Linked DNA regions of Drosophila melanogaster. The protein of the gene in region 2 interacts with the protein of the main gene of each other region in a pairwise test. Each region holds a gene or a part of one and is shown on either strand. Other genes may lie near its edges.

Region 1 (9,168 bases), on a different chromosome or scaffold from region 2:
TTGAATGGTATGTCTAGCTGTAGTTCTATTAATTAATTTATCAATATCACTATGTTCGATATGCTAATGTTAATTCTATAAAATTATTACAAGCCGAAATCTGAAAACAGAAGCAGGATAATCAATGTAATGTTAATCTTGCGAGAGGGAGCGCAGATCTACCTTGTTGCCTTCAAATGAAGCTAGTTAAAAGTTAATCCCGGGTCTGGGTCAAGGTCGTTGGGCACCCAGCACCACACCCAGAATACCCAGCACGTCCACACCCTCAAAAACCAACCCGGTCACCGGTCACCCACACCGTTCCCCGTAACATCCGAGACCCGGCGAAAGATTGAAAATGTTTCGTCGGGATCGTTGATAAAGTGTAACTACAGATAGTAACAGCAACCATAGTTGTAATGATATAACGCTAATATTAATGAGCATAAAGTAAACCTAATTTATCTATCAAACGATTTATGTTGTATATCGGAGGCTTAAATTATCGCCAAAGAAAATGAAAATCAAAAACAAAAACAAAAGCAAAAGCAAAACAAAATGCAGTTGAAATCCAACAGTAACAACAGAGCAGTCGCAGCAGACCACAAAATATTGTTGTTAATGCGAAACGATCTCCAAACAAAATAAAGAACTTGAAAAGTAGACAACAAGTAATTCCTCAGTCAAGTAAAACGTTCAAATTTGTTGCAATTCGAGAACTAAGAGAAAACTACGAAAAAGATTCAGAAAATTACAACTGCAAAAAACGTACAGAAAACCAATTGAAACAAAATTAAGCGCAATCAAATAATAAACAAGCTGCGTACGCTAACTTATTAAATAATTTTGTTTTTAATTCTTTATTTAGTGGTAGCTAGTGCAATTTAGTTAGTAAGCCGCCGTCTCCCAAACACCGACTAACCAATATCGCAAATATATATTTCCACCCAATCGAACCAATCTTCCAAACATCTCTTTTGGCGTTAATTTTAAACAATCAATCAAACAGGTCATGCATATTTATTTGTATGTGTTTGTTTGTACTATATTTTACTTTATTTTTAGTCTACTTTTTTATATGAATACATTTACATATATTTTTGCATTCAACAACTATAAACCTTCAGCAATTTTCTCGCTTTCAAACAAAAATGTCCAAACTCGAAACCTGAACGAGGAATATAGCTACATATATAGAGTCATGCTTTGATGCCCAAAGAAAATGAAAGATAAGAATCGTAATGCAAGGCAAACTTCCATGTGAAAATGAGAAAATTGTCTGGAAATTGTTGGTAACATGGTTTCCGTTTAAATTAGCTAATTACGAAACACACTTTACGATATATCATACGATACGTTAAACATAATTACTAAATAGTGAATCACACGCAATATTAATCAAGCAGATCCTTTATATTATCGTTTAAAACTGACCAACAGAAGAAAAATAAAATACACAATGCAAAAAACACTCAAAACAAAATCAGTTCTGAAACACAAAATTGATTGTTTTAATTCATTTGTTTGGGATTGGGCAAATTCCAGTCAAGGAGCTGCTTTCCTATTTAAACTGTCTTTAATGGGTCCGGAAATATAATTCATATTTTAAATATCTTTGATTACAGTTACTCCTACTAAGGCCACTCCAGAGCTCTCCCAGCGGCTCTTCGGCTCCTCTTCGACGACAATCTCAGCAACGGCTCCAGGCGGCAGCAGCACTGGTCCTTCGGAAACGATTTCCCTGCTGGAGATCAGCGATGAAAGGGAGTCCGCCCCGGTTCACCTGCCTACTATTTTGGGCCTGAAGATACGCGCCATTAACACTACGACGCCTGCGCAGCAAGGATCCCCCCAGACGCCTACGAAATCCAAGCCGAAGATACGGCAGGCGACAGGAAGCAATAACAGCAACTCTCTGCTCAAGCAACAGCTGCGAGGTGGAGCCAAGGATCCTGAGGTGCCGCCTGCCACCAGGATCACGGGGGCAGTGACCCCCAATGCTGCCCTTAATGCCGAGGAACAGTCCAAGGAGATGCCGAAGAAAAACCAGGACGAGGTCAACGCCTGCATTGGTCTGCACTCGCTGGCAAATGCCGCCGAGCAGCAGGCTGCTCAGGTGGCCAGCACTGGGAACCTGCACCACCAGCTACTGCTTCACATGGCAGCAAACAACTCCATGCTGAACACCACCGATTACTACCAACAGCAGCAGCAGGAGTCTCCCTCGAGTGCTGGCCAGTTTATGGATGACGACCTGGAGCTGCTGTCTCTTAATGATCAGCAGGATAAAAGCGATGAACCCGATCATGAAATGGTCACGCTGGCTGATGAGAACGCTGGTTTGCCTGGTTACCAGGGCAACGAGGCGGAAGCCACACCTGCGCAGGAAGATTCGCCTGCTGCGGAGACAGCAACGGCACCACCACCCGCGCCTAGAAGTGGAAAGAAGGGAGCTAAGCGTCCGATTCAACGGCGGAGAGTTCGACGCAAGGCCCAGTCGACGCTGGATGATCAAGCGGAACACCTGACAGAGATGTCCGTGCGGGGGCTGGATCTCTTCCGGTATGCGAGCGTCGTGGAGGGCGTCTACCGCTGTACCGAGTGCGCCAAGGAGAACATGCAGAAGACATTCAAGAACAAGTACAGCTTCCAACGTCACGCCTTTCTCTACCACGAGGGCAAGCATCGCAAGGTGTTCCCATGTCCCGTGTGCTCCAAAGAGTTCTCGCGACCAGATAAAATGAAGAACCACCTCAAGATGACACACGAGAACTTTACGCCGCCGAAGGACATTGGCGCCTTCAGCCCCCTGAAATACTTGATCAGTGCAGCGGCTGCAGGGGATATGCACGCTACGATCTACCAGCAACAGCAAGATCATTACCACCGCCAGTTGGCCGAGCAACTGGAGCAGCAAAACGCCTCCTTTGACAGCCGGGACAGTTCGCTTATCCTGCCCGACGTGAAGATGGAGCATGCGGAAGACCAGGATGCGGAACAGGAGGCGGAACTGAGCGATGGTGGCTATGACGCCTCCAATCCAGCAGCAGCAGCAGCCGCCATGTTGAGCCTGCAACAAGACGTAATCATCAAGGATGAGATACAGATCTCTCCGTCGCCCTCGCCCACCCCGCCCGCTTCCTGCGCTGTGGCGGAGGGCAAGTCCTTGGCTTTGGCCTCTACCGCACAAACCGCAACGTAAAGACTTTGAAGGACCAGAGTTACGGAAGGACTACGAACGCACAACAACGTTTACCTTAAGCAGCGAGCTCTGAACTGTAGAATACATCATAGCAACATAAGCAATCGTGGCACTCAAACGCAACACACCAGACTCAAAACGATTTTTAGTTAATGTAAACCCGTAAGCAATATTAATTCTAACACTTGCTCCGTCCAGAACGCCTTTTTTAAGCAACACTAGTATTTAATTTACCTAGGACATAAGTTTTGCCCAATTGAGCAACGCAATTGAGCAGTTCAGTGAACTTTAATGACTTTCGGCTTTAATTATAAACAATTCGACTGGCCGCTTACTGGATCCGCACACGATCCGTAAGGCAAGCAACTTTAGAACTTTTCATTTCTCTTTGTGATTTTGTTAAACCTTTTTATATAGACCTTTGTTTTTTATTTTTTGTTGTACATAGCTATATTTTGTTTAATACTCAAAGTCCGTAGTATAATTTTGTTCATTTCCTTGGCAACAAGTTGGAATCAAATGTATTGGCTAATTGTGCAATCTTCAAAACGTGTTGGTGGCTTCGGAGGAACGCGACAACGCTGTTCTGCGGCCCCACGAAATGTTGTAAACTTAATTAACTACTAAGGCCACTTAACTAGGATCTAGGTGTAGTCATAAGGCATTGGATCAATGTTCCAGCGTACAACAAAACGGACTTCCAGTGAAGAGACAACTGATATTTATACGGAATCCCAATCTGGTATTATGTATTATGATTTTTACAGTTTACTTAACGCAACAAATACGACTTAAGACTTGTGCGCTCAATGACTAGAAATTATAGTTGCGATTTTAGGATAACTATTCATGGAAAAACCACAAACGAGTTTTTAATAAAGAAAATTTTACTGATTAATTATTTTTAAAAGCGTTTGAAACATATTTCATTAATTCTGATAAAATCACAAATCGATACACTTAAAAACCCCCACAGCCAATCACAATAATTGAATAATGAACGTGTACATATTTTATTCCTTAAAGTTTTATTCGATTGGTGTAGCTTCATCCGTTTACTGATTATTTGCTCTTCGGTACCAGAAACGTGCCCGAAAGTCGTCGGAGCAGGTGAGGAAAGCAGGACCATTGGGCGAATGCGTAATATAGCGGACAGGTCCGTTGTGTCCAAGCGAGTTAAGGGTCAGGCGGCAGCCGTTACGGGAGTTCCACGAGCAAAGCGAAGTGGTGGCCTCGTCGGGGAAAAGCACGTAATCCTCTGTGTGGTTGAATACAGCCTCTGTCTGGTGCTCCTGCTTGCCGGTGGTTCCAGCGCCCGTGTACGTCTGAATGGGACGACTGGTACACAGCTCCCACAGATAAACCAGTGAATCCATACCGGAAGATAGGAGGTACTAAAATGAATAAGTTAAAATCTTGCACAGCCACTACCCATAGTGTCCCATTACCTTTCCATTCCGCGTAAACTCCAGTGAGCATATTGCCGCTCCGCCATGCGCCTCGGCAATGGTGTTGATGCACCGCCCGCTGATCCCATCCCATATTTTGATGTCACCATCATAGCTGCCTGTGGCGTAGAGTTTCCCCGTGGGCGAATATTTCACGCAAGTAACTCCAGCCTTGTGCTGCTGCGAGGGAATGGCACTCACGAAGCATTGGGTGGTGGCCACATCGTAGACCCGCAAGACGTTATGTTCCGTTCCGATGGCTACGTAGTCACCAGTAGGATGAAAAGACAGGCACAGCACCGGCTCGCAGTCGGTGAACACCTTGTGGGCCTTCTTTACCGAAGGCTTGGCAATGTCAAACAACTTAACAGTGCCATCGCGCGAGGCGGAGGCCAGGATGTGCTCCTTGGGATGGAACTCCAGGTAAGACACTTCATCAGTGTGATCATAGAGCGTGCGAATCACTGGATGGCCTTGTTGTTCCCTGCCCGGCTCGATATCTTCGGGCGCAGACTTCGCCAGCATCCGCTCCACGTCCAGAATCTTGATGCTGGCATCCACGCTCCCGGTGGCCACCAGGGAACCATCGCAACTGAAGGCGCCGGCGCGACAGGCCTGCTTGTGCGAGGTCACATACGCGGTTTCGTAGGAATGTGGTTCCGGGGCCAAGGCCGAAGCCTCCGGCTCGAATTCCAAGTCTATGCCGGGCAGCACATCATCCGAGTTGGTTTTGTCCTTGTCGCTCAGCGTCTGCATCCCTGCAATCATTACGTGCAGCAGGCGTTCACTGGGAGCGCACTGGTCCGCCTTCACCAGCATGGACAGCTCCATGGCGAACTTCTCCAGGCCGTCGTACATCAGCTGGCTGATCATCAGTCGGTAGAGTATCTCCCGGTTCTTCACTAGGTTACTGGGGTCCAAAATCTCATCACGCATGGTGGCTTAATTTATATTTTGTTTCCTACGGATATAAACAAAATCTTGTAGATAACGCCGTGCCGTTATCGTTATCGAAAACATTTATCTTGCCGGTATGTCATCTCTAGCTATGCGGTATTGAAATACTGAAATCAGGGTTTCGGTATTTTACGGTCCACGGTCACTCCTAACAGCTGCAACACGTGCGGTTTTAAAATTGTTTTGGTCCCCTCAATTGATTTTAAACATTGTTTGATTCATTAATTAAACCTCTCAACAATGAAGATCCGCAAGAATCATGCTCGCAAGCGTTATCGCTACAATGTAAACCGCAAGACGATGAATAAAACCCGGAGTTCCACCGGAAAAATTAAGGAGTAAGTTGGATCTTGGTGCACTTACAGCCAATAGAGTCAACAAGTTTACGAAAACCTTCTGTTATGATCTTACCAGTCCCAGGATGAAAAAGATGTGGATGGAGGACCAGCGTGTGGGCACCAACTTCAGTGAAATGGGGTTGGCCAAGGACGTCAACAAGGCCATTGCGATTCCCAGCTACAAGAAGGACCGCCTCCTAGCGGCCCGAGTTGTGAATGGGTTTCTGGAGGAGGAGCTGGACGAGGATGAGCGGCGTGTATTGGGCCTCAAGAAACCAGTCGTAGAGGAGGGTCCAAAACGTGGACACGTAGTCCAGGAACTAGAACAACTGGCTAGCGAGCGAGCCGACCCAGAGTTCAGGTAAAATATTGATTCTGCAATGGAAAACTGTCAAAATACAGGTTTTGTATTTGCACAGATTACCCAAGGGCGTGGTCAAGGAACTGTCCTACTTTCTTAACAAACATAAGTTTAACTACAAGGCGATGGTTGCCGATCGGAAAAACTTTGGCCAGTGGACGTGGCGGCAGTTCCGCTTGAAGATTCGCAGATTTATGTCGATTCCGGAGCAGTTTAACGTTTACCTGGAGCAGAAGAAGTTGCCCGTGGGCGTGAAACCGGACTGGGAGGAATACGAGTCGGACAGTGAATGGAAATAATGGCTCTTGACCAATGTACATTATAGTCGTTTTCGGGTTCTAATGCTATTAATTGTAATGTTTAGACTTACTTTAATTCTTTTAATACAATAAAATAGGCAAGTAAAGACGAACGCAAAAGGTCTACGTATTAAAGCATTACTGTTAATTACATTACATTACTATTAACAGTATTTTTTCAAATTCCTTTCTAACATTTTTGTTCTGTCAAATTTTCTATTGTTCTGTCGTACGACAGGACGAGAGAGAGAGAAAGGAAGGAGCTTGCGTCTTATTTCAACGCATAAGCGAATAGTGTGCACAATGTCTTTTGCAATTAGTGGTGAATGTGCATACTTTTAGTGACAGTCCGTGAAAGTACTATATTATTTTATCTGCAAAAGACTCAGTTTAAGAGAATATAAAATATTCCATGAATGGTAGTAAAATTGTATTACTATTTTTATTTTGGTACGTTTTATACTTAAGGGATGGAAACTTTATTTAAGTCAAGAAATCCGCATAATGCAATAGGAAACCCAAGGCCCTTGTCATACATGGAATCCTGTGCCATCTCTAGGTCGGAATCAGTTCAGCTCCGTTCACCTCAGCATCGTTGCTTTTTCGGTCTTTCCGTTTTGTGATTTCGAGGTAAGTGCACGCAGAGCTCCCGTTAAATTGTGAAAATATTAATAGGCATTGATTAGTTGTGGAAATGTAAAAAGGGAAAGTCCCAGAATTCCCTACCCTGCATTATTAGGCGAATTTCGGTTCGATTTTCCAACCTAAAGAAAGTTCTAAAGTAAAGAAAGTTCCGAAAAGTGAGAGAGTGTAAGTGATTTGCGCTGCCGGCCGGTCTTCTCATTCCTTTTGCATAATAGCTGTGTAAATCGATTCGAATTGGAAATTGGTTTTCCAGCGACCTTAAATTGCAAGTAAATTAATAAAGTTGCATAGACTTTCGAATTCCAACATGGCGACCGGCTGCATGTGTGTGCGCGTTCGATTTTGCCTGGATTGTACCCGTTTCTCCTTCCCGTTCTCAAGCCGTTTATTCCCGAGTAGTTTCTATTGGAATTCGCAGGCAAAAAAAAAATATCCGCGGCATGATGACACATGGTTAGCAGATTATTTTCCTGCCCTGCATCTCTGACGAAGTATTTTTGCATATTCTTTCCCCCTTCATTCCCATTGCTTCTTCCAATTTGCACTTCGATGCAAATACAAAGATTTAAAAATAACATGCAGGAAAATCGGCAAGTGAAACTGTCACTGGGGTAGAAAATAAATCACAACGCCCTGCAGTTCTCGCCGTCTCTTTCCCTTCCTTCTCTGCATGACCAGCAAGTGCACTGCGCCCGTTCGCCGTCCCTTTCTCTCCCGCTCTCTCCATCTCCCTCTACAGTTTTTCACCCTTTGGAATCGCGGAATTTTCGCCGCACGACCGCCACCGAATGCCGATGCTTTTGGCCATTTCCCTTTGAATTTTCTTCCACCGTGCTGCGAAAGCTGCCAAATTTCGGCATTTCGACATTTGGCTTTAATTGAAATCCGTTTGGGTGTGCGATTTTCATTGGTTTTCCCACTAAAAACGCCGGCCGGCACATTTTCGCCATGCACTGCCGCACTTCCCGGCTTTCCGACGAGGGTTTCTCTTCGGCTTAATCCTCTCCAGCCGAGGAGAGTGCATTTTCCCAGTACGCACACTTCGGCTCCATTCGTTTCTGTCTGGGGCTCGTTATTGATTTTTCGCCCGGTGCACTTCGGCAGAGGATATACACGGCAGTCTTTAACCAACAGACACTTGGCCCGGTCGTGGTCCGGCTGCAGAGTACGGAAGATCCGCATAGAGTTTAAAAACTGCCATTTTTATGACAACGATTTCCTTCTAATTCTAGGATATAGCGTCGCGTGGGTTTGTGATCAGTTTCTAAGTGCGCAGCGTTGCCGAGTAATAAGAAACTCTAGAAAGTCTCGTGAAAACAGGTGAGTTTTTCTGCTTGTAAATTCTTGCTGCATACATTTGTGGGCAAAAATATTATGGGAATATGGGTGTATTTCTCAATCGTACACATTAGTGTCCATAAGAGTCCGTAAAAACATACATGTGTATTTATATTTTTCCTATTATTCAGTATAAGGCTTAATTTGAACTAATTGGTAAACTTTTCGCGTGATTTTCGTGTTTACTCTTGAATTGTTTAAAATTCGTATTTTCGAAATATAAAAGTTCAATGGTTTTCCCTGGTGTACGTTTGTGCCTGTCCGTATGAAGTGTGCTTTTGGTGTCTACACCACGATGACACGACCCACAGCATACAGACGTCACTCGTCTGCACCACCCATTAAGTTCAGACCCACATTGGCATGCTACCTCCCCGAGTACGGAAACCACCCACTTTGCTCATCCGAATACCTGCATCCCTTCTGTCTCCCAGCAGCTCTAAAAAATAGCTTAATCTGCAAGGATGGGCAAGGAGAAGATCCATATTAACATTGTGGTCATTGGCCATGTGGACTCCGGCAAGTCGACGACCACCGGCCACTTGATCTACAAATGCGGCGGCATCGACAAGCGTACGATTGAGAAGTTCGAGAAGGAGGC
Region 2 (10,496 bases):
TAAGCGAACCTTTTCGGGACAGTAGTCACCAGGAGCTGGGGTGCCATTGGTAATCTTCTCAATGTATTTACCAGCCATTGAGAATGCGGGATTGTGATCTTGCCTCACCTTCTCCGGTGAGTATGCTCCTGGAGCAGGAGTGTCGCTGGGCTTATGAAGATCGTGACGACCGGCGAAGGAGAAGGCGGGATTGTGATCTTGTCTAACTTTCTCGGGATGATAGTCACCTGGAGCTGGGGTATCGTTTTCTACTTTAGGATTGTTTTTACCAGCAAAGGTAAAGGATGGTGTGTAATCTAGACGGACCTTTTCGGGACTGTAGTCGCCAGGGGCAGGAGTATCATTGGAAACCTTAGGGTCATGCTTTCCGGCCATTGTGAAGGCAGGATTATGATCCTGTCTGACTTTTTCAGGAGAATAGGCTCCAGGTGCTGGAGTGTCGCTAGGTTTTTGAAGATTATGACGGCCAGCGAAAGAGAATGCTGGGTTATGATCTTGCCTAACTTTCTCGGGATGATAATCACCTGGAGCTGGGGTGTTGCTCTCAACTTTGGGATCGTTCTTTCCCCCAAAAGTATAGGCAGGTGTGTGATCTAGACGCACCTTTTCCGGACTGTAATCGCCCGGAGCTGGAGTGTCGTTGGCTACCTTTTGGGTGTACTTACCCGCCATTGAGAAGGCAGGATTATGATCCTGACGGACCTTTTCCGGACAATAGGCACCAGGGGCGGGAGTATCATTCGGTTTGTGAAGATCATGACGACCAGCAAAGGAGAAAGCTGGATTATGATCTTGCCTGACCTTTTCGGGATGATAATCCCCAGGAGCGGGAGTATTGTTCTCTACTTTCGGATCGTTTTTGCCACCGAAAGTGTAGGCTGGAGTATGATTTAAGCGTACTTTCTCCGGGCTGTAGTCTCCGGGAGCGGGAGTACCATTAGTTAGCTTTTCAACTGGCTTGCCTGCCATTGAAAATGCTGGGTTATGATCTTGACGTACCTTCTCGGGAGAGTAGGCTCCTGGAGCAGGAGTATCACTTGGCTTTTGAAGGTCGTGACGACCGGCAAAGGAGTACGCTGGATTGTGGTCCAACCTCACCTTCTCCGGATGGTAATCTCCTGGTGCCGGAGTGTTATTCTCTACTTTAGGATCATTCTTTCCCCCAAAACTGTAAGCAGGTGTGTGGTCTAATCTGCACTTTTCGGGACTATAGTCTCCTGGTGCCGGAGTGCCATTTAAAATCTTCTGATCGTGCTTGCCAGCCATCGTGAAAGCTGGATTGTGATCTAATCTCACTTTCTCCGGCGAGTAAGCACCTGGAGCGGGAGTCTCGCTTGGCTTGTGGAGATCATGGCGGCCAGCAAAGGAGTACGCTGGATTAGTATCTTGCCTAACTTTCTCGGGGCTATAATCACCAGGAGCAGGTGTATCGTTGGTAACCTTGGCATCATACTTGCCGGCCATTGAGAAAGCTGGATTGTGGTCCAGTCTCACTTTCTCCGGGAAGTAGGCTCCAGGAGCGGGAGTGTTGTCTGGTTTCTGAAGGTCGTGACGACCGGCAAACGAATATGCGGGATTGTGATCCTGCCTAACTTTTTCGGGATGATAATCACCCGGGGCCGGAGTGTTATTCTCTACTTTAGGATCACTCTTAACGCCAAAACTGTAGGCGGGAGTGTGATCCAAGCGGACCTTCTCGGGACAATAGTCCCCAGGAGCCGGGCTATCGCTGGTCACCTTTTGACTGTGTTTCCCGGCCATCGAGAAGGCAGGATTGTGATCTTGTCGCACCTTCTCCGGGGAGTAGGCGCCCGGAGCGGGTGTTTCACTGGGTTTGTGCAGATCGTGGCGCCCGGCAAAGGAGAAGGCCGGATTGTGATCTTGCCGGACTTTCTCGGTGTCGTAGGCTCCCGGTGCTGGTGTGTCGCTTGGCTTGTGCAGATCGTGGCGACCGGCGAATGAGAAAGCGGGATTGTGATCGTGCCGCACTTTTTCGGGACAGTAGTCGCCCGGTGCCGGAGTGGAGCTCTCGAGTCGCTGCTCGTGCTTACCGCCGAAGGTGAAGGCCGGCGTTCGATCGTTGCGATACTTTTCCGGGGCATACGAACCGGGCGCCGGAGTCTCGCTCACGGACCTCGTCTCTGGGCGTCCGGACAGGGTGAATGCGGGCGTGTGGTCCAGCCGCACCTTCTCCGGATTGTAGGTGCCCGGCGCTGGCGTGTCACTCGACTTGGCCAGCTCGGCACGGTGGCCAAAGCTGAAGGCAGGCGTCCTGCTCAGGACGCACTTCTCGGGTTCGTATGCTCCGGGTGCTGCAAGAGATTGGGTGAAGATAAGGTGTAAAAAGAGTTGGGTTTTGGTGTGCGGGTCGCACGCTAAGACTAAGATCCATTGAAATGCGATTCTAGAACTCACCAGGTGTGCAATCGACCACGTCCTGCGAAGCCTTTCCGGCGATTGAGTAAGCGGGTGCGGAGTGCAACCTTGACTTTTCGGGGCTGTAGGCACCGGGTGCTGGTCATAAGGACATAAAAGTGTGCGCTATAAGCCAAGTTACTACAGCCCAGCTGAGCGGGAAGCCTTACCTGGAGTATCGCTGACCTGGATGTGTTTGGTCTTCAAGCCAAAGCTGTAGGCGGGAATGTGTTCGAGGACAACCTGCTCGGGCTTGTAGGTGCCTGGCGCTAATGAAAGTGTCGTCGTGGTGAAAGCATCAAGCAGCTATATTAACGTGGCTCAAACCTACAAGGCATACTGTTTACAAACCTGGAGTGTAATCTGGTCGCTGTTCATGGTGCTTGATGCCGAAACTGAACTCTGGCGTCTTGTTGAGCTTCACCTTCTCTGGACAATATGCGCCAGGAGCTGCGGATGGGATGGGATATCAGTATTAAGTTGGCCAAAAGTCACGGGAATAGAAAAGGAAAGCGCTATAGATACTGTCCAATTGGGTACGCTTGAGCAAGTGGTGCCTCGATTGGGGTAGATACGGATACAATTACAGATGCAGATACAGTTACTTGGGGGGGAGGCTGGGATTTATTACCTGGTGTGCCCTGATCGTGTTCGATTTTAGTTCGTCTACCGAAAGTGTAGCGTGGCGCATTCTTTTTTGATTGCGTGACCTTTTCAGGGCAATAGCTATTCGGAGCTGTTAGTGTTAATAAAACATTCGATTTTTAGTCTACTCGAATCAAAACTAAAGGTCTACACTAGGTGAGCTACGACTAAGTGTGGGTGAATTACAAATAGATAGATATGTATATACGGATAGAAAGATACATTATTTCGGGAATTAGTGATGAGTTGGGGATTAATTGATCGGGTTAGAAGTTAGAGAGCGGAGCTAGACCAACACCAACACTAAAACGCAACGTGGACGAAGTTTGGACAGTTAGTTGGGTTACCTGGATTGTTAACCAAATACACGTTAACCTTAATGCGAAAGGAGTAGCGTGGGGCTCGCCGCTTGACGACATCAAGTGGCACCACTTGATAATAGTTGGGACCTGAGTCTCGATTTTGCCACGGCAATCATTCATTGAAAGAGAAAAACGTTTCAAATTAAAATCAAATCAGGCAACATAACAAAAAAAAAGAGGTCACACAAATTACTGAACCACTAAAGTAACACATATACAAAGAACACTGTGTAGCTAGGAAATAATAAATGAGAATTAGAGAATATGTATAATCTTAAATAGAAATATTTATGAGAAATTAAGACATCTGATCTCCGTTTCCGTTTGACTCATAAATAAAAATAACTGAGCCAAGTTGTAGACAATCTTTCACAAAATAGATGACCGTATAAAGACATTGCCAATTCCTCCTACGTAAATTTGTAGCTTTTTTTTAGGGAAACAAAGAAAGTTTAGAGAACGAGATATGAACAAATCGAATAAATAATAATAATGCCCAACATTATAATTAAATACTTTTTAATTAATGTACCAAAAATAATAGAATAGAATAAGCCAAATCATTCACGCACATTACGAGGTGACATAACTACGATTCAATCTCAAGGATACCCAAAGATACAGCAGAATAATCTACGAAATGTGGCTACGACTACACTAGCTACTGAGATAGAGATAGAAAGTGGGAGAAAGTGGAAGAAAGGGGCGGTAGCAACTTACGCGCTGCTTGCAGTAAGGATGCAACTGGCATGGATTCGGATTAGTTAATGAGTACGCTTCTATGTACAATGATGATCCATGATTGAAATTGATTGATGATCTCCTCAGTCCGCGCATGCAACCAAAAAAAAAAAAAAAAACAGCACCAGCCCGCAACAAACACCGAATTCAACGCCAAATTCAAAGTCAATTTTCAGATCCAACTCCAAAATCCAACATCAGGTCCAAAAACACCATTCAAACACCAGTGGAAGAAGACCGAGACTCACCTGGTATCTGGAAGGTTTTCAACGCGACCGGCCGTTGGCCAAAAGTGTATTTGGGCGTGGCATCGATCACCGCCTTGGCCGCCGGCACCACATCGTATTCCCCAGGTCCGGGATTCGAGAAGCGTGTTAGTTCCTTGGGTCTGCTCTGCAGAGTGGCTGCTCGAGGATAATCCCGACCCTTGGCTCGCATACCCGTAACATTGTACTGCGCCGGACCCGGTCCGGAGGTGTCATACTTTCCGCCCAACTTGTGGCCAAAGGAGTACGAGGGTGCGGCCTTCTTCTTGGAGTCGGGAACTTTGCTGCCTAAATGTGGGATTTTCAATAAGTTATATTTGCAGGAACATTAAACCAATCTTAAGCTTACCTATCAAGGTTGGAAGTTGGACAGTGGCTGGACCCGGATTGGTGGTCTCGGCGGCGATCTTGCCGATCCTAACAGTTGGAGTCCAAGGACGCTGCTCCACGTTGCCGCCCATGTTAATTGGACGAATCTTACGCACGCGGGCGCAGGGTCCCTGATCCTTGTTCTTGTTTTTGAACTCGACCTAAAAAGGGGAAAACAAACAACAATATTAAGAAATCCATTAGTTATTTAGATCTTCAAGAAACCACCTTGTTCATCTTGCTGTTTTTAGGCTTAGTAGTATCGAAGTCTGAAAATTGTGCCCCAATGTAAAAAAAAAAAGTTAAAGACCAAATTTACTGAACTCCCTTCGCTGACATTTACACGTGTGAGTGGGTGATAGGCTGACTACTGAAATCTATACTTCGACCCCCAAACTTGGGTAACCTAATAATCCAAATTTCGTCCTACTCCAACAGCCAAGTCGATGACACAAAAATCAATCGTCTGGCATTTGTTTCGAACTTTCTGGGCCAATTCCGATGGGGCGGCTAATAACCAGGCGTGTAGCTCCACATATTCATACCATCCATGGGCGAATGGATTCAGTGGATGGGGGCGTGTCGTGTGGCGGCTGTCACTCTTTTTCTTCTCCTTCTTCTGCAGTGGCTGTTGCTCGGCATTTGTTGCAGGTTCCTTCTGTTCGAGCCGCGAATTTGTTGCGCCGCACGAAATACAAACAATGGCAATAACTTTGCGGTAGGCTCGTAATTCTTGGGCGTCAGTGGCAGGCACAAAAGTTGCAGGGGTTTGCAGTGCAACCAAAATAAAGTTAAGAAACTTAAATTACAGTCTTATTATGTCTTTGCCTTTCAGTTGTATTTGATTTTGAATAGAGAGCAATAATTTATATATGTAATCGAAGTTTGTAAAGGTGCCTAAATATATCTAGCATATATTGAGCTTCACCCTTTAAATTGAATTTCCCTATAAAAAGGGAACAATAAAATACGAAGAGAAAACCAAATGAATTTTAATGCAGTTACCACGGTAGACAATTTTATTATACATATGATTACCACTAAGTCGTAACAAAAGAAGTGCACAATAAAAGTGTTTCCAGCTAGTTAGGAGCTAGACAAAATGAATATTTTAATGAGAGGCCCCCCTCAACAACATTCGTATTCCCCAAAACCTGCTGCTGCCCTGGGTGACGACCTTCTTTTCACAGCTCAGCACACGGGACACCAAGTGTTGCCCATCGACAGGCGGGCAGACATCGGAAAACAGACCGGTACCAGCTGGTATCAGGAGTTCCAACCACGCTCCACCTTACCAACTTTCCACCTTTCCACCTTTTTAGCGCCAGGAACCAGGCATTTGGGCATGTAATCGATATGGGGCTGGATTTGGATACGGATACGAATTCGACGGGCGCCGAGATTTGGGGTCTGGTCAACAAGGTTGTGTCCCGAATCGAAGCGAAACGAAACGAAACGAAGGGGAGTATGCTAAGTGCTAATGCTGCCCATTTTGTGGGGCATGTAAGCCAACAAAACGATTACTTTTAATGACTTATGGCCGACAATTGCATGAACCAAAACAAAAACAAACCCAGGACCCAAAAGAAATGCGAAGCGTGCCACTTCTTTTGGCCGTGAAAATTCGCCAGCCTGTGTAAATAATTACAAACAATGTTAGGGGGCGTGGCCTGGCTGTTAACAGGGCCAATAAAGCCGTCGTTCTGCTGCCAAGAAAGGCTTCACTTTTCCCGCCAGCCGCACTTGTTACTTGCTACATATGACTCCTGACCTCGCATGCAATTCACATATACATATGTATGTATTTATGTACAAAAAACAATGTTCTCTTCGCAAGGCAGGCAGTCATCAGGCGGTCTTATAAGGCGACTCTTACATCACCATCATGAGGTTGGAAAGCCCACACACCGTACCGCCTGTTCAATTGCTGTTCGAGGCCAAGATCAGCGAAGAAAACTGAAAATCTAACGATGAATCAGAGCCGGCAGCTGAGCCAACAAACTCAGACATCTGTCAGACAAAGAGTCTTGGCCACCCACCCACATTGCTCGCATTGAAGGAAATCTGTCTTAATATGCACATATGGCATCGAAAAGAGATCAATTAAAAATCTAAAAATATATTAAGCTTAATTGTGAAAGAAAATTGTGATTGAATAATAGTCATCTTATACATAAAAGCATAACTGTCAAGATTTTGGAAGCATATAGTAGAACAGAAAATTTCAAAACATAAGATATTGCATTTGATTGTCACGCTTTTTTCTATAAACCATTAAAAAAGGGGTTCAAAATACAAAATCATGTATGCCTTATATATGACTTTAATTTATCAGCCAAGTTATTGCCACCACCAAATAGTGTGTGCTATTTTTCCGAGTGCAACTTCAATTGAATAATGTTTGGTTCGCCCGTTCAGGAGGTCGCATTTAATCACGTTAATAGAGCGTTGGCTCATGCAATCAATTTGCATGTGGCGATCAGATTTCAGTAATCAAATTATAGATGGTGATGCTCGATAATCTATGCACGGGGGTCAGTGTATAAACCGGCTAAACTATATAGTTTATTAAAATCGCCCCCACACACTCGACTTTCGATCTCTCTTTCTCGCTATAAATATTTGCTTGCATTTTGTGAATAACAAAAACTGGCATTCATTATTAGTTACAGAGAGTTTCAGCAAATATTTTAGCATTATCTCTGTGACCTTCGGTGATTTGTTTATGATGATGTGTTTCTGTTTGATTTAAATTGATATTCTCACAGTTGACCCGATGACTCTGCACCCGTGACGAAAACAACGCGTCAGCTTTAATTTGTGATTTTCACTCTAAAAATATAAATAAAAGCTGTAGGTAGCCTCAGCCATAAAACTGAAATACCCTGTAAGTGAAGTTGTGTTTACTAATCTGTTTTGATTGAATATAATAGCATAGGTTCGAAATAAGTGAAAGAATGCCTAATATAGATTCCTTAACATGGAAATAATGTTTCAAATTGTATAAATATTTCAACAGTTTTTAATCACATAATCATTTTTAATCATCGATGGACCATGTATCGATATACCCCCCTTATTTACTAATTGTGAGGTATCTGTATCTCTGACATGATCAACAATCATCTCAACTCAGTGAAAACGTTTTTATGTTCTTTCGACTTCATTTCACGCTCTCCAAAACTGCGAATTAAATATGAGCTCATTCCCAAAATTTAGACAATTTCCAGGCGGCCAACTTGGGGGCTTTTACGCCCAAATACGGCGGCCGACGTTTCCTTTAGCCCACATTGAGTTGTCCGAAAAAGCCAGTTCGGAATTGGGTTTCCAGACGGCAGATCGACCCACGCAGAAACTCCATGACTCCGCGATATATAGACATACAGCCAAATAGCCATAATTCGTGTGCTGTCTCTATTAACTATTGCCTCTTTTTTTTTGTAAAAGTTTAATTAACGCCGAACAAGTTGAGCAATTCCTTTCCAAAAACAGAAAACGACAACAAGTGAGTGAGCCAGCCGGCAAAAGGCCAAAAAGGCCGAAAAGAGCTGGTAAATGAAAACATGAGAGCCAAGAAGCAAAACTGAACTCTCGTGATTGTGATAAAAACGCCAAGACCGACTGACGTCAGCTGTGTGAACTAGTTTGCGATCGTCCAAATCTAATTAAGTTTCTCAACATTCTCGGTGCTCTGCAGCGCGAACGTGTTTTGGCTTTGAAAACCAAGAGAAAGCTGGGAAATGAGGCGGGAAAAATTGGCAAACCCTCACTGAAACTTGGTTCTCAAGGCACAAGGCCAATGTTTTCAAATAGCTGTTGATAATTACTAAATTTAATGGGGGACCATCACACATCCGTTTCCAAATTCTAGAGCCTGAGATCACTGGCTGCTGCTGACACAATTTGCATGTTTGGATACATAAATATCCGTTTGGGTCATTTTATAAATATTTATTTAGCGATTATTGCATTTCCCCTTAGCAGCTTACTTTTCTATTTAACCTTTTACCATTCGTTACTTCGCTATTTTGTATCTTTTTTTTTTTTGTTTTTGGCCAACGCGCTTTTGTGTTGTGCCTGCGCCATAATCAGTGACTTTGAAAAATGAGCTGCTGACTCGGGTCGACCGGTTATTAGAGCTGATGTCATGGGCTTCGTGGGACAAGTGAAGTAAAGGTATCAAGAACCGCGGAAGGGTTACATCTATGCCAACAAGTGACATCAATACGGGAACGCGAGTGTCATTGACTAAACAATGGGAGGAGCTGGGTGGATTTATTTGGGGGCGGAGCAGAACAGCTGACTGGCGGTGGGGAAACCTAGCCCTATGCCACCAGGAAATGCCAATAGTTAGACAGACAGACAGTCAATGAACTTTGGGGTCGGGTCAGCACGCAATCCCACTGGCTGCTCCGGTCGGGCTCCACCTGACTTGGTTAACGCCTACTCCAGTTTATCCTTACCGCAGGCTACTTTACGATTTCGGGTATCTCGTCCTGTTTCCGTTGTATCGTGTGATTTCCGTAACTTTCTTTTACACAGTAAAAAACTTCACTTTATTGCGGTGCTAATAGCGCGTAGTGCATACAGTCCTTGCCAGGATTAGTCGCGATTTTTGGGCGATATTCAAAACATCTGTTCACCCGAAAGAGATTGCTATATTCGTTGTTATTGTAGTTGGGTTTCGTGGCTGATTTATTATTTCGTTGATTCGTTCGTTGATTGGGTTCAAGTGACAGCCGCTTTCGAGTGTCGGTCTGCCGACTGGCGTTTGAAGTCTACTAGAGGTTTTCAAAACAAAACACACTTTGCTGATTTATTTATACCGATTGGATTGGCCGCTATGAGCTGAGTTTGTTTCAGTGAAAGAGAAGAGAGCTAGCTAGAACCGCACTCGAGAGCTGTCGAACAGAAACTGCGGCACCAAGTCGCTAACGCTCGCTTTTCGTTTCAAATTTTCGACGTAACGAATGCAAGACGTCACGTAAGCCACCGCGTTGGCGTTAACAGTCGACGTAAGAGTTAACATGAGTCTCCTCTGTTATTTGGCTAAGGATTTTGATTGATTTGTGGTGAGACATGAGCTTCAAACTCTATTTAATATCAATTAAGAAGTAGTTTTAGAAAAAATGTATATGCTCATCACTTATATTTTCAGCAAAATATTCAAATAAACTTTCTGGGAGTGGTGTCGGGTAGAATTTCCCCGCCCAAAACATATTTCCTGAAATCGATTTCCATTTAATTGGCTCATTTACATTTTAAGAAAGTCGTATCTAGGAGAAGGTCGCCTTAGATAGACATTGCCCCCGGTCTCCTGCCCACGGTTCAATCGTATCTTAATGGCTCATTGACTATCTGTAATTCGACTGGGTTTGCGCTCATCGAGAGGCCTATTTATGGCCGTGCTCACCAACAAATAATGCCGCTCGATTGTGGTTATGTAATGCGAGACCGCGATCTTGCCTCCGACAAATCAATCCGCCCCGCCGACCCAACAATCTATGGACCACTGCTGCGGTGGCACACAGACAGCCTTCACCCACACACATGCCTAATGAAGCATGACAAATTATTGGCATGATTTGTATTGGAAAATCGTTTGGTGCAAAATTGGTATAGTTGTGTTTTTTTTTGGGGCAGAAAGGGGAGTGATGTTCAAAACAATACTTAACTTTCTTATTTATCCAAAACCCAT

The links.
Region 1: the proteins of CG8086 (region 2) and CstF50 interact in a two-hybrid assay, tested with the Drosophila melanogaster proteins (one large-scale study listed by BioGRID).

What each region holds. Positions count from the first base shown.
Region 1 is NT_033777.3:31,731,316-31,740,483, forward strand, and holds CstF50 (cleavage stimulation factor 50 kD subunit), read right to left. Parts: upstream 5,649-9,168; 5' UTR 5,566-5,648; coding exon 4,630-5,565; intron 4,576-4,629; coding exon 4,237-4,575; 3' UTR 4,188-4,236; downstream 1-4,187. Other genes in the region: ttk (tramtrack), read left to right, coding at 1,605-3,181; CG11563 (uncharacterized protein), read left to right, coding at 5,827-5,924, 6,001-6,285, 6,344-6,584; eEF1alpha2 (eukaryotic translation elongation factor 1 alpha 2), read left to right, coding at 9,032-9,168.
Region 2 is NT_033779.5:8,247,817-8,258,312, forward strand, and holds the start of CG8086 (uncharacterized protein), read right to left. Parts: upstream 5,151-10,496; 5' UTR 5,036-5,150; coding exon 5,027-5,035; intron 4,960-5,026; coding exon 4,779-4,959; intron 4,718-4,778; coding exon 4,412-4,717; intron 3,510-4,411; coding exon 3,408-3,509; intron 3,152-3,407; coding exon 3,047-3,151; intron 2,866-3,046; coding exon 2,767-2,865; intron 2,685-2,766; coding exon 2,586-2,684; intron 2,515-2,585; coding exon 2,416-2,514; intron 2,313-2,415; coding exon 1-2,312.